Mytilus edulis: one gene and its partner. The protein of the gene in region 1 binds, or shares a complex with, the protein of each later gene. Links are inferred from orthologs where the notes say so. Each region holds a gene or a part of one and is shown in the gene's direction. Other genes may lie near its edges.

Region 1 (11,513 bases):
TACAAATATAAAACATGCATAATTTGACATTTCCGAATCTTTGTCTCTGAGCTCTGACTGTTAGTGCGATATGATAAATTGAGTTATTCCCCTTAGTCCAGACAATTTTAGGTATAACGATCATAATTATACATGGTGATATCTGGGTTTTTTTACATGTACAAGTCAATAATCTAAAGGGATTTACTTCAGTTAAAACATATTTGCTTATACAATTTCTTTAATGATTGAACAATAAAAAAAATCATGATTTTTTGTAGATATTGTAGCTAGTGCCTCTTTAATATAATAACTTAATAAACTAAAAGTATAAATCAATTACAATAAGACTTATCTCCCATCTGTTTACATGTTACAATTGAAGTACTTAAAATAAAGACATCATTGACAAATAAAAATGATGTATGTTTATGAACATCTGTTACATTGTTACAAAAATTATATGTATATTTTAATCTAAACAAATGTTAGACATCAAATATTTATTAAAGTTTATAAGTTCACAGCTTATTCAAAGTTCTATATATATGTGTCTGAAATTCAAACTGAAAGGTGTTTGAAGGGTTGTGAAAAGTAATGCTGGATATACCTGTATACAACAATGCGATAGTAACACATGACATTTTTTTTTTAAACAGTCCATTTCACTTTTCTTGATTCTTTTTCTGAGTTGTGGAGTAAACATCGGCCAAACATGTAATATAATTTGATTAAAAAAATATTTTTTGTTAGTATTAACATGATTAAGAAAGTGCCTTAAGTGTAAATTTGAAAAACAGCGGTCTCAGCAACTACAAACTAGTGATAAATTGAGAACATATAGATTATTTAAGAATATTTTTAAATTTGAAAAATATTTATCCGTTTAAAGGGGCACTAGCTGTCAAATTCATGTTCACCAATTTGACTCAAATTTTCATATTTTATTTATAACAATGTAAAACATTTTTCCAAACTATCAAAAGTATAAATTAAGCAATTTACAGGCCATGGTCTCAAAAAGATTTAGCTTCGTTTCGTGTGAATTTTAGCAATGACACCATCTAATTAAATTTCGAGTTGACCTTCTGTGACCATATAAGCAATGTAAACATAAACATAGATACAAATAGATTAAGAAACTCGTGCAGTTAGATTTTTATAGGTCTACTAAATTTTGTATTATAGATTAAAAATTTATGTTTATCATCGTTTTTTCCTAAATAAGAATGTTTTTTGTGGAGCGAATCAGTCAATCAAATTATTTACTTTTGTTTCACTTTCAATGTTGACATAATTTTCCTTTAAATAACTGTACACGGACAATGCATGCGTTATTCTATCTCTTTCTACGGGGTTAAATTGGAGTTCACATGAATACAGGTTTAACAAGGTCGAGTTATTCACTTGCAAGTGAATAAGTCGTCAATTTTTATTAGCTTAATTTGACAAAATTGAACCATTTTAGCTGCTAAAAGTGAATTATTATTTCACTATTTCATTTTCATTAATGATTGAACAAACAAAAATCATACTTTAGATTTTTTATATATCTCGTAGCTAGTGCCCCTTTAAGTAATGATAATGATAGAGTAAGTATGACAAGGTTCAGAACCAGCAGTCATAAACTTCATATTGAAATTGGTAGATAAACTATACCAAAAACTCCTATAGATAACAGGATTTGTAAGAACTGTAATATAAATTTGGTTGAAGATGAGTTACATTTTTTTTATTAAAATGTCAAAAAATTTCTCATTTAAGGAAGGAGTTACTCTACAACTGTTTAAATAAAAACTTTATTAATTCTACAAATATCAATTCTCCGTTTTTATGGTGATTTAGTAATGAAGACACTGATGTATGCAAAAGTATAGCTAAGTACCTAAATATGTGTTTTTTACTTAGAATAAAAGTGTGAATTTTTGTTTGCTGCCTATAATGTAAAATAATTACTTATATTTTTACACTCGAGTTATTCCCCTTTGAACACATATACTTTGATACTTGTGTAGTATTAATTTTAGTTAAGATTGTTTAAATGTTATTCTTTGTTGTATCTATGCTATTAATGATTATGTTCATAATTGAGCTTTCTTAAATAAAAAATTTCGTATTTATACAATTTTAGTACATGTATATAATATTTATGATTTATATTTATTTCATGTGCATTTCAAGGTGGTGTTTCCAGTTTTTTAATATACAATTTAATATATATTTTTTGAAGTCTGACAATCAGACTGTACATGTACAAACATTCTGGGGCCGTGTCAACGAAGCTGTCCTAGGACTAAGACATGTCTTAGGATGGTCTTAGGACACGTCTTAGTCCTAAGTCGGGTTAACGAAAGTCTCCTAAAATAAGATATGTCCTAAATTTGGTCCTAAAGTTAGGATATACAATTAGGTGTCTTAGGATAGTCCGAAAGGTTACATCGTCATAAAACGTAATAAAAACAACAAGTATGGCATAAACTCAATACTAAAAATACTAATACAATATTAAACTATCATTAGATAAAATTAATAAAAAAAATATTGTTTAATGTTTGTTAAAGATTTAATTGTTATATATTAAATTATTTTGTGCTGCCTTTTTTGAAGCCTAAACAATACTATCATCATAAGCAACATATTTTAAATAATTCAAATATGGGGAAAAGTTTACTTCTTTTTTACCTAATCCTGATTCGATACATAATGAAATCGAGTGGACCTAAGGACAAAACTAGTTTATGTACTAAAATTGCAGCACGAATATCACAAAGTTTTGTGACCATTTACTTTTGTTTTCGTATTAAATTCATTTATATCTTTTATCATATTTAATAACGTACTTATTAGTATTCCGTAAAAACTTTACTTTTATTTTGCGTTAATTGTTTTCTATATATATAAGAGTCATCCTCCCTCTCTTTACATATAGGTTCTAAAATACAATTCAATCTATGTCATACAAATATCTACATACATTTTATTTTTAAAATAAATGTGTTAGGATGGTCCTAGGACCATCGTAGTTAGGACTGTCCTAAGACAGCTTTGTTTTACATCCTAAGACATGTCTCAGACACGTCCTAAGACCATCCTAAATAATGTCCTAAGACCTATCTTAGGACATGTCCTAGGATACTTTCATTGACACGGCCCCTGTATAACAGTTTTTATGTTTTTCAGCAAACTTCTGTTTCTATTTTTTTTTTAAAATTAAATCAATAATGTTCATATAAGCTAAAATAATATATCCAGTAACTTGGCCATTTTATGTTGTATTCACAATCAAAGTTTTTAATAATTTGTCAATTTTTACAAGCTTAACAACTTTATCTTTACAAATCCTAAAAAAGTTAATAGATATTGCAATATTTCTCTGTAAAGAAAGATTTATTTTTGATGTACCTCTTAGAAGACTGGCTCGTCTGAACATGCATGAAATATTTGCCACTGGACGTTAAGCAAACAACAATCAATACTGGTTAAAAACAGTGATTTATATATTAAAAATGTAAAGAATGAGGGTTTTAGCAACATCTGAAGTGTTGACAACTATGACATCGAGAAATTTAAAATAGTGATCAAGGTACATAACCATTTACACCAAAAAGATGGGAAAACATGTTAAACATATACAACTTACCGTCTTTTGTCCTCAATAAAGAATTGCTACCAGAACCAAGTAAAGACTGGACACCACATACACTTGGTTTGATATCTTTATCTAATAAAGGTCCAAGTCTCTGACATATGTGTAATAAATGGTTAGATGTCACATGACGGTATAGTTCAACCTGCAAAAATTATAATTAAATTAAATTTCCATTATTTATTAATTTCTAATTTTATGATAACCACAGAAGCTTATTTAGACAAACATTTTCAGTATTTCATTGATTGATAGCTATAGGTGTTTGATGGGTGGTCGGTATTTTGAAAATAAGACAAATGTGATTTGAATTGTCCATGAAATTATACTTTTATGAATAGAAAAGAAAACTTCCAGTGGCAGATCAAGAATTTTTTATAAGGGATGGTAGTGGGGACACTAACTGCCTTAGACCTGCTTCTGTCATGCTTCAGTGATTCCTAAAACAATCAACCAATTTTTTTTTACAAAATGGGGAGGGCTCTAAATCCTCCACCGACTTCAAAAGACATACAATAAAAATAAATACTAAAATAGAGCATTGTAGTCATCATGGTTATGAAAAATTCAATAAAAGAAGATATTTTTTTATTTTCACTTTCAAATACAAGTGTTGACTATCATAATAGTTTAGATAAAAGTCCCTGATAATAATAAAAAATAAATCTGATGTCTAACCAAGGATTTGTATAGTAAGATCTTACTATACAAATCCTTGGTCTTACTAAAAGATATTAAATATTACTCTACCTCATAAATATGTAATTCATTATTGTTCAATCTTTTATTCACATATAAATATAATTGTTTGTATTTTACTACCATGTATTGCAAATTGTTTATCCATTCGGTCATTACCATTTATTGTAAATGTGTTTGTCAATAGACAATATTTTATTGGCAGAATTTGTGCCAATAAAATATTGTCTATTATAAAAAAAAAAATCTTTTTCTTATAACTTTTAAAAAGTTGCACAATTAAAGATGACTGTGACCTTGAAATTCAAAATTAATGTACTTCAAAACTATTTCTTTAACAATCAGTGTTGTAAATAACACAATTTTAAAAATTATATTGAGAAGTTTTTATTTTTGTCAAGATTTTTTATAAATATTTTTCATGTTTAAGACTTCAATATTTTAATGAGATCTGTTAGCATATTTAAAATCTGTACTGAATATTTGACAAAATTATTTATTTCAAAAAGGAAAACAAGAATATAAACTTTTATACACTTAATCAATCACATCAATGATAAGTCTAGAGAAATCAGAAGATACTTTCTAAATATAGCTTGCTGTTCTCTCATTGGTTATAAATCTGAACTTTGGGGTCAATGACATCACACATGACCTTGTGCATCAGATATGATAATGGCCTCAAAGAAATTATTACAATTTCAAAGCAAATCATGAAAACAATTGATTTTTTAATAAAATTGACTTAAAAAGATGAAAATTAAGTGCATCTTAAAATAACACTCAACAGATAAAACACAAGAAACAAAATGACGAAAAAATCTTCCTAAAAATGGAAAAAGTAAAAAATGTCAATTTCTTGTTTTTCGAAAACTCACCAAATTTTCAAAACTTCTTTCGTGTTCCCTGCCTTCCCAGTCAATTCTTTTTGGCAAAAGCTACAAAATTCCAAAAAATCATTATTCCAAATGTTCCGTGGAACTGTCCGTTTACAATGACAGCAAGTACAATCCGTAACAAATCTAATTAAATTTCAACATTATATTGCCGTTTTTTATCCGTTTTCTACCGTAAAAGCGCGTAATTTGGATTGAAAACATGTCAAATTTTCGCACACTTACCTTGTGTTTTTCTAGTTCTTTTCGAAGTGCCTGGAAAAGAAAAGGGTAAATTGAGTGTGAGGTCAGTCAAATGAGCCCTTACAGACATAATAATGCCAAAGACTTACCTGAGCGGCATCGGAACAGGGTCCAGAAGACAAGAATCTGGCGATGAGGAAATATAACTCTGAAAAGAAAACAGAAAGACTGCTAGTACATTGGATTAAGTTTTATTCGTATAAACTACACATGAATTCAAAATAAAAGCATTAATTTACCAGCTTCTATTGATGATATTTCTCTGTTTTCTCTACTTGGCCCCGGCTTCATCATTAAAACTTAATTAAACAATGAACTGTGTGGGTTATTCAATGAGCGATATCGACGCCATTTTCTGTTTACTGCCATGGATCGAAACGCGGAAGAATAATATTCTAAAATTTTTAAATCTATTTTGTTTTGTAAATATGAGCATTGCTGTATTCATTTTAAGTATAATTTATCCTAATTATTTTACATTATCAAAAGAGGCCGACAATTCACCTCGTAAAATATAAATATACCGGACTATATTGTGAATGTTTGAAATTTAGCCAACTCACAACCCGGTGCTACGTCACACATATGGGGATAGCCCTCGCTTCGTGATTCCCTCACTTGTTCTCAGCTGGTGTTTCATCATTTAATCTGTGGTTAATTGTACCGTATATTGGTGGTAAAGTATTTTGTACATTTATTGTTTTATAAATAAATTTGTACATCTGACATATATACACCATATTTACACATGATTTCATGACCACTGTGATGTGCATACACAAATTTTAGCATTTGTTGTTAAATATTTTCAAATTAAGTAGACAAAGTTATACATGTTTTGTACCTTTCATGGTGCAATCATTTAACCATTTTATAGTTTATTCCCTTTTGTGTATTCTAGTAAAGAACTATAAGATAAAATTGAAATTATAGCTATAAACAAGATTATAAAGCTAGGTGCATGATGTTCTGAACTCCAAGCTTCAACAGTGAAATAAATTAAGAACAAGATAATATAATGGCTATAGAAGTTCAGGATCAATTGAACTTAGTGGCCATAATACTCGTATATCAGTATTATGGAACAATACTTGTATATAATTTGTGTAGATATAAAAATATTTAAATAAGAAAATGGTGTATGCTAATCCAAATGATTATGACATCTTGCCTCGGGGGGGCCACTTCCTATATAATGACTGGTAGGGATGAGCCGCTGGAATAGGTCACTATTTCATGCTTCATGATATATGAAAAGGGTGAGAAATTCAGATTAAATATATCAATAGGTTGATATTATCACTTGCTGGATTATATCATAAGTATCTGAAATTAATCAAATGTTCGTATTTATTTTTGATGCGGTTAAACCACAGTCGTAAATGCATCAGCTATTTGTCAAACCAATTAAACTCTATTTATTCAATGTGGTATTTCCACTGAGGTTAGTTATAGATGCAATAAATCCAATCATTTTGACATTTCCACCTAATTAACATTGAAAGGTTTGTATACATGAAACATTTAAAGAAATTCCATAGCATAGTGTCAGCGTCCTTCAAGAGGGAACGGCAAATCAGTTTTTAATTAATGTTAAACTCAGTAAAAGTGATACTATCTGAAGTATTACTACATTTATCTGACAAAACATATGTTATTGTCTTTTGAAATTGAAATTTCATCATAATCAAAGATATAAAAGGGGCAAATAGCACTGGCAAATAGAGGAGCGAAGAATTTATTGGAAAAACAAGGTGTGATTATTGCGACTGCGTTGCTTCTAAACAAGAACGTAAAATGAGCGGGACCGCAAAACTTTTTGTAAATACTAATGTACAAGAAGATAAAAAATATCCAAATATATCTATAGGTCTGTTTTTTGTTCATTAATATATGACAAGGTATATATTTTTGATAAACAAAATATATGAAAAGGGTGGGGTACTTGATGTCTCAGCTGCTCACCCCTACCAAAAAAAGTTTGAAGTGGCCCCCCCGAGCATCTTGCAAGCCTATTTTAATTTTTTTTCTGGGACGCCTTTCTATGGCTGCTAGTCCAAATAATTCTGACGTCTTGCAAGGCTATTTTAATTTTTCTGGTTTGGACTAGGTGTAACAATTATACAATTATAACTAAGTTAACAATTATAGGCCTCAGATCACAATTAATTCCCTTTGTTCGTGGTCTAGGAATATAGTTCCCAATTATTATATGGGGTATTTCTTCCCAAGTAATCTGTCTACTGTTTTCTTTGAAATGTTTACTATTTGAGTGGTCCTATCAGTTGCATATATATTTAAATAAGTAAAACATGTGGAAAAAAATGATTGTTGAAAGTGAAAGTAGTGATTTGGCCAAAATGAAAGTAGGGTAGAAATCAGCCTTCGTCATTTGTTCAAGATTCAAATCCTACCATTGGCATGCTAATAGGGCCCTCAAAAGAAAAAGCACTGATGGATTGTACTGGGACAAGCATATTTTATTAGAATAATAATGGTCTATAAGCATTTAAATTTATTTCATGTTTGTGGCGGTGCAATTTTTTTAATTCGATTTGACTTTAACTAAAAAATGCATTGTAGCCAAGGGGAAGAATAATTGTGTTCTGAGGCCTATAGGTCACTACATGTATATGGCCTTCTACAATGAGCAAAACTCCTACCTTATAGCAAGCAATTAAAGAAATAAAAAATTTCAAACAATTCAGACAAAAAGATGTGTGCCCAACTTCTGTACAAAACAATTATTGAAATATGATATACAGCAACAAACAACAGGGACTTACAGGCTCCTGAATGGGGACTGGCTCACACAGAATTGGCTGGGTTCTGACATGTTTGCAGACAACCTTCCTGAAGTATTGTTTGCAAAATTTTAAAAATCAATAGGGTTTGTTCATGTCATTAATCATGTTAATGTAATTTATCAATATAGTTTTTATTTTAATTTTTAGTTTTAATGCATAGTTATATAAATTATAAGATAGATACATTTGCTCTATCATTTGGGCAGATATATAAAGTGCAACTGTATTACTTAGTAAATTAACTTTTTTTTTGTCAACCCAGAAACTGGTGTCGAGTAAACATACATGTAATAATGCTACATGTACAACATGTATGACTATTATTGAATCCTGCTAGGCCTGAACATAACAGAAAAGTCAGAGGGGAGCTATTATTCTGTTTTGGGGGCCAACAAACTGGACATCAAATAGGAATTGGATCTTTTGAACTTGACAACCACAATACTTAGTCATAAATTATTTATCTCTTCCCCTACTTTTTTTCCCATGGAGATTAGTTGGCCTGTACATGTCCTCTCAGTCAAGGTCTATTGACTTGAAAACTTGTGCATAGTTTTATACATGTTATGAGATCAGTTTCAAGGAAAACTACTTGTGATGATTCAATGAAATCTTCTATTGATTTTTTCCATGTTTATAATTATGTTCCTGTAGCTTTTAAATAGTCATGTTTCATTAATTGATTGAAAGTTGTTCTTTCAATGATTCTGAAAATATGAATATTTCATTTCAACAGCTTCAATATGTCAACGTGGTTCCCTGAGCAGCCTAAGGCATGGTACCACAGAATGTGTTTAAGGATCCTTGGGTTTGGACAAATTCCTAAACATGTAGCCGTTATAATGGATGGCAATAGAAGATTCGCTGTGAAAAATAGTATGGAACGAGCTGAGGGTCATCTGAAAGGTTTTGACAAACTTACAGAGGTATTATATTCATTGTATTTTATATTTGAACTTCCGAAGGGTTTTTATAAACTCACAATTGAAATCAGGAATAAATGGAGAGTTATCTTTTTTGCTAGTCTGAAAATAAAACCAACAAACCAATCAATTTTGTATTCAAGTCAAAGTTTTTGTTAGCAAGCTGTGTTCCTGATCATGATAATAAGTACATGTAGGTCTTCAAAATTGTTCCAATGTCACGTAATTTCACAAAATAAATTTGAAGACAATCAATCGAAGTGGATGATAAGTCAAATTTGTATTACACCTTACTTGCTTTATACAAACAAACTTTCACTAGCAATAGACTAAAACTATTCACTATTACATTGAAGATCTATCAATTTGACATGTTTGATGAATGTAGATTGGAATTTTTTTTTTCCAATTGGTATTTTGAAAGGACAAGGTTTTTAGAAATATGTACTGTAAAAAATGACAATAATTGTTATAAAGATCCTAGAAGAAAGACAACTTTTAAATGTTTAGACAGACACATGTACATGTATTGGTCAATTTTAAAGTGATTGACAGGTACCAGGCACATTTGAGAAACAAACAAAATAATTAACTATAAGTGTGTGAACAACATCTATCTTATGAATTTTAAGTGGTTTGATATTTCGCATTCTCAAAATAATGTATTAAAGCAAAGTAGTATTTTGTTTATTGTTAATCTCATCCCATCTTTCGACCTTAAAAATGTTAAAATCAATACTAATTGAGATGAATATTTATAGACATGATAGATGACAATATTCAAAAGATTTGGAAGCAACAATTTATTAGATACATTGTACATTTGATTTTTCCTATGATTTTGTTAGACCAAATTGCAGTGCAACCTTTATTATCTGACACACTGGAAGACCAGAAAAAGATGTCCAGATTAAGCAGGGTATCGGAATATTCAGGTTTTTTCTGCAAGGATAGGCATATTTTGAGACCATGAAAATGTGTCCGTTTAAGCAAGATTTTATTGTACACTCTGACAGTTTACACTGTTACAAGAGGCAGTATGTTGGAATAATCAGGTGTCTGATTGGACAGGTTACACTGTACATATTTTTTTGGCCAAATAAGGACACAAACTGACAACCTGTTTTGAAATTTTACAGGTTTTAGAATGGTGTTTGGACATTGGAATCACAGAAGTTACTGTTTATGCCTTTAGTATAGAGAACTTTAAGAGATCTAAAGCGGAGGTTGATTGTCTCATGGAACTTGCAAGGAAAAAGTTTAAAAGACTGATGGAAGAAAAGTAAGATTTAAATTGACATTGATATCCCATAGTTATTTCCCTTGGCAACCATTTTGGAGAAATGAACAGTTTGTTTTCCTATTTGAATTATTAAATTAAAACATGTAATACTTACATTTAATAGAAATATGAAGATGTGGTATGAGTGCCAATGAAACAACTCTCCGTCCAAGTCCCAATGTGTAAAAAGTATTCATTTATACATGTAGATCAAAGTACGCCCATCAACATGGAGCCTTGGCTCACACCTAACAGCAAGCTATAAAAGGCCTGAAAACCTCCGGGTGCGGGAATTTTTCGCTACATTGAAGACCTGTTGGTGACCTTCTGCTGTTTTTTTTTTTCTATGGTCGGGTTGTTGTCTCTTTGGCACACTCCCCATTTCCATTCTCAATTTTATAGTGTAAAAGAATTCAAACAAGAAGACCAAAGTTCTACATAACGGCAACCACTCACCACACTGTACAAAAGGTTCCTGACTTAGGATAGGTGCAAACAAATGCAGAGGATTTAATCTTTCAACAGTCTGACAAGATATCCTTACTTGTTTGTACATTGTAGTTATTTTATTATTAACTAGGTCTTAAAGAAATAAAAATTGTTCAGAAAAAATGCTTTTTCAAAAGTCTTGCACGATATAACAATTTGAATTTGGCTGATTTATGAAGGCTTAAATTAGAAGTCAAACATAGGGACAAAGGGAAGCAACTCTTGCCCAAATTTTGACAATCAAAACCTATCTATACATAAGGATCACTGTGTGCACTTAATTGAAACCAATGTGTAATTGAACTTACCTTGATAACCACTGAATACCTAATTTTTGTATAAATTTGATAGGAGTATATTTAGAAGAGAGGGGCGAAAGATACCAAAGGGACGGTCAAACTCAGAAATCAAAAATAAGCTGACAACGCCATGGATAAAAAGGAAAAATACAAACAAACAAACAATAGTAAACAACATAAAAACTAAAGAATAAGCAACACAAACCCCACCAAAAAGTCAGGGTGATCTCATGTGCTAAGGAAGGGTAAG
Region 2 (12,103 bases), about 18 Mb from region 1:
CAGTATGGTTGATTGATTGATTGTTGGTTGATTAACGTCCAGTGGCAAATATTTCATGTATGTTCAGGACGATTATGTGGTATGGCTTTGCTCATTGTTGAAGGCTGTATGGTGACCTATAGTTGTTAATTTCTGTGTAATTTGGTCTCTTGTGGATAAATGTCTCATTGGCAATCATCCCACATCTTTTCTTTTATATTCAAAGGGATCAGTGGATTTTCCTTCTACTTCTACTATTTTCTTCTTTGTAGTCACCACCTTCAACATATTAAAGTTTATGTCTGACACTTGTACTGCGCATACTGCTTTGTGTAGAAGTATGTACAGTGAAAATTTAACAATTTTATAATTAATAACAAAATTGATAAGGGCTATTCCAGAAAAAAATTTATGGGGGGTTGGAAGGCACTTTATATTAATAATACAATGGTGATTGGTATCAGAGCAACTTTTCACACTATAATGCACTATAATTCTCAATTACAATTGTCTGGGTGATGGGTGCTGACAAAAACTGCCTTCCAACCCTCCATACATTTTTTTCTGGAATAGCCCTAATATTTTTAGTCACTCATTACAATATTCAGAGTAAGGTTATTCCTGTTTTTAATTGATCCTGGAAAAAATGATTGTTGGCGTATTTGTGCAGGATGGATTTATGTACTAGCTATAGCCTGTATACATGTTCTGGGTCTATCTGAGCGTTTTTATTAGTCTACCTGGGTTTTTTTTGTTGCTCGGAGATGAGATGTGATTTTATAAAACATGACAAGGCATGCATCTGTTTTTCTGTGTGCGAGGTCTCTCCATTTTAAATGATTTATATCATGTCACAAACATGTACACTTTCTATGTTGGTTTGTGAAAAACCTAGCAGCCCTTCTTTGCACCTTTTTAAGTTTGTTTATATCCTCGGTAAAGTAAGGGTTACAGACTTAACAGGCGTATTCTAGTGACATAGTCAATAAGAAACATCAACATGAACAATGATGAAGATTTAGAATTTAGCTACATTTTGTTCTTTTACTGTTTTAGGGATCCAAAGCTGTTTATTTGATTGAATTAATCGTAAGACCGATGTTATTAAAAGCATATAATTAACCTGATCATCCCCTGAACCGTCTGTGTTTGCTGGGAGTGATATTTTGGGTCTTTTTTGTAACACTGGCATTGTTGACATGCTTTCTTCGCTGTCCGACATTTTTAAATTTTTCTTTGTCAAGTCACATGACTATCACTTGACCCAACAGCAATCGAGCGGGAAATTTTTTTATTTTTAAAAATATATATATATAATATATAAATATATACATTTTAGTTGATATCATGGTCCGTATATTAAACACTTAAAAATTCAAAAGTTTTCCGATTGAAGTTTCTTGGGTTTTTTATCAAAATTTTTGAACTTTATCAAAATTCTTGCGGTTTTTTTTTATTTCTGAAAAATTAATAAAAATTTCACCAAATAAGGATAATAAGAGGAGTCTGATGGGTGTCTCATCACGATTCGCGAGCTGATTTCTTTGTCAATCACGATTCACAGAAAATAAATTTCCATGATCACGGATCACGAAAATATATAAAAAAAAATTGTAGAAAAACGGCGAATCACGTTAGCCGCCGGAAAATGGGCCGATCACGAAGAACGAAAATAACCCATCAGGCCCCTCAAATAAGATCAAATAAGATCAAATAATTCCAGTTAAAAATTATAATCTTCCTTTTAAAAGTCTTGATAAAAAAATTCAAAAAGAGAAAAGAGAAATGATCAAAACTATACAGTTTAGTATATTTATTAAACTGGTTTGTTTAAAAATCTAAACTATTAGGGAAAATTAAGGGGGAGTGTATGCGGTTTTTTTCTTTAAAAATATTCTTAACTCCTATTTAATGAGAAAAAAAATATCCTATTTAAGTAGATGACAAAAAAACATTCTGTTTCCAGATTTCACCCATACCTAATAGTGTTCAATATTTAAAAAAATATTCTGACTCAGATAAAACGATATTCCCCTTTTCTTAAACTAAATTGTTGCTCCCAAACAAATATTTCACAGGACGAATTACGGATATTGAATCAGCGGGAACCCAGGCTAAATAAATGTATGTTATCTTATTCAAGGAGTTTATATATTTCCCGTTGTCATAAGTAGATATAGGAAGATGTGGTGTGAGTGCCATAAACTTTCATGTGACTGTCGGCGTTTCGACTTTGAACTACCTTTTTTATCCACGATACTTAGGAAGCTACCATTCCATTTTTAGGGACGGGGGGGGGGGGGGGGGATAAGATGAAATTTGAAAAAAGACAGGACAACGGTTTTGCCGGATTAAAAAAACACGCAGGATGACAATTTATGCACAAAAAGTCAGGATCAACTATAATAAAAAGGGCAGAACAGAGTTTCAGTTCAACTAAATAAAATGCATTCAACATTAAACATCAGCAAGTTTTTTGTTCCAATATTTCAACTTTTATTTCCAACTTTCAAAATTCGATTTCAACGTTCAACATTCGTCTTCAACAATCCGGCAATTTTCTTCAACATTTAGCATTCGTTTTCAACATTCAACATTTAACCTTCGATTCCGAATTCAACATTCGTTTTTAAACTTTCGATATTCGTGTTTCAACATTATGAATATTCGTTTTCAACATTCAAAATTCATTTTCAATATTCAACATTCGTTTTCAATATTCAACATTCGTTTCCAACATTTGTTTTCACATATTCGATTGTCAACATTCATTTTCACCAATTTACTTTCAAAATTCAACATTCGTTTTCAATATTCGTTTTCACATATTCGATTTTCGACATTCATTTTCAACATTAAACATTCGTTTTCAACATTCAAAATTCATTTTTAATATTCAAGATTCTTTTTCAATATTCAACATTCGTTTTCAACAAATTCGTTTCCTTCGTTTTCAACATTTGTTTTCAACATTCGTTTTTAACATTCGTTTCCAACATTTTTTTTTCACATATTAGATTTTCAACATTCATTTTCAGCATTCAACATTCGTTTTAATTCAACATTCGTTTTAATTCAATATTTGTTTTCTACATTCGTTTTCTTCTTTTTCAACCGTGATTCGTTTTCAACATTGGTTTTCAACATTCGTTTTCAACATTGGTTTTTAACATTCGTTTTCAACATTTTTTTTCACATATTCGATTTTCAACATTCTATTTTCAGCATTCAACATTCGTTTTAACTTCAACATTCGTTCTAATTTAACATGATTCGTTTTAATTCAACATTCGTTTTTAAACTTTCGATATTCGTTTTTCAACATTCAAAATTCATTTTCAATATTCAACATTCGTTTCCTTTGTTTTCAATATTCGTTTTCAACATTCGTTTTCAACATTTGTTTTCAACATTCGTTTTCTTCGTTTTCAACATTCGTTTTTAACATTTTTTTTCACATATTCGATTTTTAACATTGATTTTCAGCATTTAGCATTCGTTTTAATTTAAAATTCGATTTTAAACTTTCGATATTTGTTTTTCAACATTCAACATTCGTTTTCAACATTGAAAATTCGATTTCATTCAACATTCAAAATTCGTTTTCAGCATTAAACGTTCGTTTTCAACAGTCATTTTCCATATACAAAATTCGAATTTCAACAATCATAAAAAAATTGTTTACAATTTTTGTTTTTCTCTTTTTCTTTTTTGAAATAATTTTGTTCTTCAATATTCATTTTTCAAATTTAACATTTAAACTTTCGAAATTTGTTTTTCAACATTCAACATTAAAAATTCATTTTCAATATTCAACATTCGTTTTCAATATTCAACATTCGTTCTCAGCATTCAACATTCGTTTTTAAACATTCGATATTCTTTTTTTTTTTTAACATTCAACATTTTTTTTTCATCATTCAAAATTGACCTTCAATATTCAACATTCGTTTTCACATATTCGATTTTCGCCGGACATTCATTTTCAACATTCAACATTCGTTTTCAACTTTCAACTTTCATTTCCGATCAACATTCGGTTACAGCATTCAATATTCAAAATTCGATTTCAACACCACTTTGGTCTCATACAATTCACATGTCATCCATCTCAAGGTAAGGGGTTAAATTAAAGTTCAAGATTCAAGATTTCAAGATTTTATTGTAAAGCAACGCTCAGACACATATATGTGTAACATGAGGTACATATATACAATGATAAACATGATTTATAACACAAAGGTAACATTCAAAAAACGAAATAAACAATAAAAAACAATAAAAAAATAAAGACAAAAAATAAAAAAATAAGACAAAAAAGAAATAACTCATACAAATTAATATACATATCACAATAAGTTATTCAGCTTTCTGATAAAAGATGCCACCTGTCTATATAAATTAACATTGCAGTAAGATACCATTACAGATAATTTCTGCTTACTGGTATAATAACTAGGGATAATATATGTTGTTCTCTAAAACAAACCAGTTGAGGAGACTTGCATATAAAAAGATAGTGAAATTCGTCTCCTGCACTCTCTTTACATATGTGACATTTTCGGTCATCCACCGGAATATTGTACCAACGCCCAGTTTCAATCGGAATTTTTATATTAGACGTTCTTAATTTTGTCATCCAGATTCTTGCATTTTCCGGTATTTTTATAATGTTAATTTTCAAAACCAAAACAGTTTTTATAACTAGAATAAAATACACCTCGGGAAGATAATTGGACATCTTGATGCCATTTTTGTATATATTGGTCTTGTCAAACCTGTTTTATCAGATGCTTGTAGTCAGCACTATCTTGATTGACAAACACATATCCTAGTCCTGTATCATTAAATATTGATTCTATAAAGTTCAGCCATTTGAATGATTGACCGCTAGTTTGCATTAAACTTAATAATAATCTATATATATATTACTACTTAATTTGTCACCATGCATTATTCTTCTCCAAAATGATGTCATTCTTATTTTAACTTTTATTTCTAATGGAAATCTGCCTAATTCTCCATATACCATATAGTTTGGCGTTGAAGATCTTACTCTTAGAATACGTTTACAAAAATTTAAGTGAATTTGTTCTAAAATTTTCAGGTTTTCGTATCCCTAAATCTCACAGCCATATAAAAGAATAGGCATCAAACATTTTAAGCTGTAAATCTAGTGGGATGGCTTGATTTCTAATACTTTTGTACAAGCTGTATAATGCTTTTTATGCTTGATTAACTAATTTTTTCTTCGCCTCCGTAAAAGTACCATTACATTTAAATATAAGGCCAAGATATGAGTAGGTATCGACTAATTCTATATTTTTGCCTTGTAATTTAAATTCGAATTTCCGTCGCACTTTGCCTTTACTAAATACCATGCTATTTGTTTTTGTAACATTAACTTCCAGTTTCCATAATTCACAGTAGTTCTGGAAAATATTTAGTGCATTTTGCATACTTTCTGCAGAATCCGCCATACTGATGACGGTATCATCAGCGTACAGTATGGCAAACAGTTTCATAATTGAATTTAACTCATTTTGACATTTTTCTTTAACTATCTCAAGGGGACATCCACCTAAATCAATAAAGAATTTTTCTATGTCATTTAGAAAAATTGAAAAGAGAAAGGGAGATAGATTTCCCCCCTGCTTACACCAGTTAGACAGGGGAAATATTCTGACTGTTGGTTGTTGTATTTAACACATGATTTAATATTATTAAACATATTAAAAATAACAGTAAATATTTTTCCTTTTATACCACTGTTCTGTAGTTTTTTCCACAGACCACTTCTCCATACAGTGTCGAAGGCCTTTCGGAAATCAACAAATGTACAAAATAGTTTTTTACCAAAAGACTGATACAGTGATATTAAGGCATGCAATACGAATAAATTATCGGTTGTAGAGTGATCTTTTCGAAATCCAGCTTGGTTGTTTGAAATTAAGGAAATTTCATTTGCAAAAAAGGTTAACCTAGAACTGATTAATTATTGATGTGAGGACTTTTCCTAGACAGCTTATTACTGTTATTGCTCTGAAGTTATCAGGATCCATGGTATCTCCTTTGTTTTTAAAAACTGGTATTATTATACCAATAGTCCAGTGCTCTGGTATTATTCCTGTTTCTAAAACAATGTTAAATATTTTACAGTAAATATGTACCAGTGCTGGAGTTGAATATTTTATATACTCATTTAAAATATTATCTAATCCTGGTGATTTGTTATTCTTTAAATTTTTTATTGCATCAGTTATTTCAGAGGCATGCATATGGATTCAATGAGGTCAAATTATTCACTTTCAAGTGAATAATTCATAATCAATGTGGTTTTTTTTTAGCTTATTTTGACAAAATTGAACCATGCTGGCTGCTAAAAACCAAATATTATTTCCGCTATTTGCATTTCATTAATGATTGAGCAATGTTTTATATATCTCCTAGTGCCCCTTTAACATTGCGATGAATCACCTGTCAGTTTTCAGAATAGAAATAAAAAAGTACACAAGGGACTCTCTATACTAGTATATTAGTATAGAAAGTCCCTGTCAGTTTAATAATTCAAGATGGTCAATTTTATAAATCAGATCAACTCTAGGGCATATGAGATTGTGGTCATAGTATTTCAATCCCATTTTTTTTTAAATTTTTATAATTTATGTTCAATTTTAAACGCGGACGTCAAGGAAAGCACAGTGAGTTGAAAATGTTATTTTTGTGCTCCATACTTTTTATACTTTTCCGTTTTCTTGACAGATTCAATGCACAAGCAAAGGGGTTTTAAGGGATACTGATATTTTGTATTTAATTTCAGTAGAAAGTTGATCTGCATCAGGTTTTATTATCTTATGTGTTTTTATAGTGTTTTCCACGAAAGAGGAAGTGCCCTCAGCATTCTAACCGTATTACTTCCGGTACACGAGAACACAAGACCGGTGCCTGATCCGATAAATTATGATATCCACTCTTTCAGAAGCTAAAACTAATAATACTACGTAAACTATGTTTGAACAACTTGTGTTACGACTAATTCATTGTATTTTATCATTTGGAGTGTTTGTAAAACAATGTACAAGTTATTTTATACATTTCGGCTTGGTATTTAAACAAAAATCGTCAGTCGACTTCATCAAAGCTGATGCAAGGCAGATAAACAAGTTGCCGGTACATATAGGAATAGTTGTTTTAGAAGAAAAACTTTCATACACAGATATAGCTAATATTATAATATGGTCACTAGCTTTAGGGATATCTTGTATCAGTGTTTATGATGTGAATGGTAAGTTCAAATGGTTAAACTTCAAGCAAATATAATTTTCTGACACATGAGCAAATTCTAGATAATATAAGAACACTACAATACACCTTATCGCTATTTGTCGGCCATTGCTTGATATCATGCAGGTTCCCATAAAATGTTGACGTCATAAAACAAAACATCTGACGCCACAATGGAAAAGTTGTTGTTGTATGCGTCAAAAGTTCAAGCGGCCGGGTCAACTGGGATTAGCGATAAGGTGTGTCTTCTTCATCTCTTCTTTTGTTAATCAGCAACGGAAAAATGCCATCAAGCTGATGCTGTATCATCAAGTGCAGGTGCTGTACAGGTTGTGATCAACAAAACCAAGAAAATAAATAAAATTTATATATATCATGTATAGACAAGTTTAAAATTGTGATCAATGCAGGACAAAAACAAGGATGGTCTTTACAGCAATTCACTGTGTCTCTGGCTCAGGATGAAAGTGTGACCAGAGGTTGTTCGTTAAAAGTGTCAGAGTCGGTGTCAATTGTGTTTTTTCCGGGTAGATGGTTCCAGTCTCTGATTTCGTATTCGGAGGTGTTGCATTGTGACTGCATGATGCTGACTGTGTGGCTATGTCGTGTTTTCCTGTTGTTGACGAGGTAATATTTGGGATTTCAGTGGTTACTTGATGGTACACTATTTTCTAAAATAATATTAAGCGATTTGCTGTTCTTCTCGTTTCAAGAGTAGGCCAATTCAAAGATTGTATATGATTGCAGTCATGGAGCCAGGTTAGTAGTTGTAGTTCTTGGTTACAAAAATCTTGCTGCCCTGTGTTGTACCATTTCTGTACATTTGATGTCCAGTGCAATGGGGGTCCCATACTTACCAGAGCAATGTAAGCGTGTTGTTTAATTTCTTGAGGGCATTTATATAAATTTCTTCTTTAAAATACAAAATTCAGCTCCACTCCTAGGTATGGGTTATGTTCTTTTAGTTCCAGCTGTGTAGAATGTAAGAAGTATGGTCTATATGATGAAGACATAATCTTTCAATCAGTTTTAGTTTAATTGAAGTCTGGAGCTGGCATGTCAGTTAACTGCTAGTAAATATATAGTCTGGTGTTATTTATGTATTTTTGTTTTTTTGTTGGTTTCTTGTGTATAGTTCAGAGTTTAGTATGGCGTTCATTATCACTGAACTAGTATATATATTTGTTTAGGGGCTCAGAGACGGATTTAGAGGTGGGGCCTTGTAAATAACAGTGATGTTATTAGTCAAATTATACCTTACTCATGACTTCCTCTTCATCCATAACAGTTTAAATATTGAAGTTTTGCATGATTTAAAAAACAAATAAAAATATTGATGAATTGTTAGTCACGTTTGGCTGTCACTTAAAACTTGAGTACATGTATCTCACATAGTTTCATTCAACACAATTTGTATGTATACTCTCATTTACAATATGGAACTTCTTGTTTGAACAGGCTTCTCGCTAAGGATTTTTGAAGGAGAGTCCAAGGACTCGTCATTTTAAGCCATGATGAGTCCAACAGCAAGAAGAAAATATCTTATTGCAATAAGGCCAATTAAAATTAATTGATAGATTTTCATCCCCGCCCGCCCCTCTGAAATCGTCCTGCCTCGATTTTTTTATTTTGCAAAATTTACGATTTCCAGATTTTGTTCATTTCCGTTACCGGTAACTGTCAATAATTTCGTTTCATTCGAACTTCCTGTTTATAAAATTTCGGTTTTTCATATTTCTTGTTTCGAGTGACTTTAAAACGATTATGTTGACAAACAGTGGTCTCGCTAGCCCAAAATAGAAGGGCGCCGCACCCTGGGTGCCCTCAGCCGCGCCCTGGGTGCCCTCAGCCGCGCCCTGGGTGCCTTCATCCGCGCCCTTCTGCCCTGACGTCTTTTTCCAAAATTATCTTGTGCCGTTTTGGTAAAATTTTGTTTCATCGATTTCTGATCTCCAAGTTAATTACATATATGACACCTGTGTGATTGCCCCCAGGTTAATCATGTCATTACAATCAATTACAATGATAAAGACTTCAAAAGTGTTAATAACTAGGTAATTTAATTAGGACAATGTATCTTTTTGTCATACTTTTGATGAATGTGTCAACGAGTGTGTTTAGCTTGGGTCGGCATTTTCGATCTCCAAGTCACAATGGAAGAGCGTATATAAATGAAGACTTTCATGACTTTAGAATTGAATTTAAGTCATCAAAATAAAACTATGCTTTTACAGAATTGCCTTCCATCTCAACTTGTTAGCGACAAGCACAGTTTTTAATTAACTCAAACGTGGTGGAAATTGATTTTGGAGTTACTTCCCCTGTTTTAGCTTATTACAAATTTGTGCTCTTAAAATATTATCTAGTATCAAAAAAAAGAATAAGTTACCAATTGAATATATAATAACATAATAATGTTACCTTAAAGATATTAACTGTCTTTGAACATATTAAAAAATATATATTGCAATTTCTACTTGATAATTATACTTTTAGCAATCCATGTTCTAAACATTGTTAAATTAGTAATGCTCTCAGTTTTAGGTCAAATGATGTATTAAAAGCTGTAATTCCTATATAGATTAAAAAAAAAAAAAAAACACATATTCGATAATGGGTAGAGTGAAGTTAAACTCTAAAAACATAATATGTTAATGAAGATGTACTATACCATTCATAACTACACAAACAATGAAATAAAGACTATAGTTGAAAAGCATCTTTATTTAAAAAAAACAACATATACAGTCCAAAAAAAAAAGAGATTCGTTAACTCGTGATACACACAGAAACGTAGACAAAAAAATGAGCAGTGCCTTTTCTTATCAAAAAAAGTGCCCTGCCCTCCACTGGCACCCTGCCCCTTTTAATTTCTAGCTAGAGCACTGACAAAATCTGCTGCTCAATGATGACAGTATCATCTACAGAGAATATAGAAAGATTACCAGAAGGGCATGAAATATTCGGATTACGAGTATTAAATACGCTGTGTCCAACGCAAATCGCGGTATATCACAAATTGGAACTTATGATTTCTTTCATCAGAAAATTGTGGATTTATTTAATAATACATTGACTTTGTGTAAGCAAATTTGGGCTGTGAATGATTTCCAAAGTGCAAGAATCGTGGAACAAATTGGTAGAAAAAAAAGAGTTCAAAAAGTCGGCAAACATACACATTGTGTACTAGAAACCCCTTAGATTAACTTATGGCTATTGTTTTTGTTTTAAAAACACAAAATACCATTTACAATGTAATTATATATGCGTCACTTCTTGCATAACTTGAGAGTCTTAAAAGTGCCAACTTTACTATTCCTTGCAGCACTTGTTTGAGTGTTCATTTCATTCATAATACTTGTGCTGCATTCCATTGCATTTGCATAAGTTTATGGGGACTACAAACCATCGCTTAGAGAGCAAAATAAATTTGGAGTTGGTAGTCAAATGAATAGAGAATTTCTCCATGGTTTTACTGTTTGCTGAAAATATGTTTCTAAAGTAGCAATTGCATGTAGAACAGTCCGCGTTGCAAATCAGAGATGTTTATTCAAGAATTATGTACGATTCTTTATACATGTTTAAACATTTACATGGTATAAGCTAAATTTTGTAATGATAACACTTGCATATATATATATATATATGAAGTTCACGCCACAAGAAGATTTCAAATTGATTAAAATTTAAAAAATAAAATCCTCCCACCCGCCCCATTTTTTTCAAAACTTTGGATGAAAATCTACTAATTAATTTTAGTTGGCCTAATATGTAGTATTTTACAAATGTTTTGGTCTCTATTTCCTAACAGAGCAATGAAATGACATTAAACTCAGATCACTTTTAAACTTTTTCTATAAAATGATGATATTTGTGTTAAACTGTGTTCAGTTTAAACAAAATATTTCAATCTTGATGCATCTGTGGACTCACCAGTTTTGAAAATGGTAAGTTCAGACAGATTTTGATGAGTCCACGACTCATGGACTCGCCTTAGTGAGAACCCTGTTTGAAGGAATATATACTAATCTATGGCTACCAGGTCATTTTTTCAGTCTTATGAAACTATGTTGATATTCCTGGAATCAATAAAAAACACACCAATTGAATCAAAACCGACAGTACATATGTAACAACCTAATATATAGCTCTAGCACTTCTCAAGGTTGTACATGTAATTTGCCACTATAAAAAAAACACACCTGTATATATATATTATATACAATGTAATATATACAATGTAATATATACATGTAAATAAAAAATCAAATGTAACTCAAAATGATAAAGAAAATGATAATTTCAAGTAAGTCAGGGTTAAAGTAAACTGAATTTCTTGGTACATCAGATACTAAATTTATAAGCAGAGTTATCTCCCTTTGTCCTTTAGATTTTTGTTAAGTACATGTTTGTGTAACTAAAGAGCTAATCATACTTTAGTCTACATACAAGATTATTTGTCGAAAACATTTATACTACAACCTTGAACATATTTTATTATAATATGTTTATATCATTGTGTACCATGTATATATCATGTACATGTAGAAGCTGAGCACTAATTTACATGTACATTTGTATGTCTTTCCAGGTGATTTTAAAAGAAATCATGCTGTTTTAAAAGGGGTTGTAGCAAAGAAACAGAAAGAAATCTTACATGATGAGAGCACAAAATACAGTATATGTTTGCATACCAATAACCAGACAGATTTATATTTAGAAAATGGTATGCATCAAATGTCAGATTTTCTAAATATTGATAGGACTAAAATCATAAAACAGTTTCTGACTACATTTCTAGTAATAAAATCTTAGGATCAAAAACCAAACTTCGTCATTT

What was found.
Region 2: the proteins of dehydrodolichyl diphosphate synthase complex subunit DHDDS-like (region 1) and dehydrodolichyl diphosphate synthase complex subunit Nus1-like are in contact, whole or in part, in a crystal structure (PDB 7PAX), measured with the Homo sapiens proteins. The link is inferred for Mytilus edulis from reciprocal best matches to the Homo sapiens genes DHDDS and NUS1. Residues at the interface, in NP_995583.1 of Homo sapiens: Arg37, Arg38, Glu81, Asn82, Lys84, Arg85, Arg159, His160, Ile162, Ser163, Val166, Arg167, Met169, Ala170, Trp171, Val173, Glu174, Pro180, Ser181, Ile183, Ser184, Glu185, Leu188, His199, Glu209, Val210, Arg211, Leu212, Ser213, Asp214; in NP_612468.1 of Homo sapiens: His137, Gln138, Pro193, Glu194, Lys197, Ala198, Ile200, Val201, Ala204, Gln205, Phe207, Cys208, Gln209, Val211, Ala212, Arg217, Pro218, Thr219, Leu221, Asp222, Val223, Leu226, Asp237, Pro246, Val247, Asp248, Ser249, Thr250, Leu251, Gly252.

Annotation. Positions count from the first base shown.
Region 1 is NC_092353.1:36,823,850-36,835,362, reverse strand, and holds the start of dehydrodolichyl diphosphate synthase complex subunit DHDDS-like, read left to right. Parts: upstream 1-6,020; 5' UTR 6,021-6,139; intron 6,140-9,006; 5' UTR 9,007-9,013; coding exon 9,014-9,196; intron 9,197-10,332; coding exon 10,333-10,475; intron 10,476-11,513. Other genes in the region: PH-interacting protein-like, read right to left, coding at 3,620-3,770, 5,203-5,262, 5,446-5,475, 5,553-5,611, 5,703-5,757. UniProt on the Homo sapiens protein: With NUS1, forms the dehydrodolichyl diphosphate synthase (DDS) complex, an essential component of the dolichol monophosphate (Dol-P) biosynthetic machinery.
Region 2 is NC_092353.1:18,904,780-18,916,882, forward strand, and holds the start of dehydrodolichyl diphosphate synthase complex subunit Nus1-like, read left to right. Parts: upstream 1-6,876; 5' UTR 6,877-6,987; coding exon 6,988-7,264; intron 7,265-11,854; coding exon 11,855-11,989; intron 11,990-12,103. Other genes in the region: polycomb protein EED-like, read right to left, coding at 1,103-1,201. UniProt on the Homo sapiens protein: With DHDDS, forms the dehydrodolichyl diphosphate synthase (DDS) complex, an essential component of the dolichol monophosphate (Dol-P) biosynthetic machinery.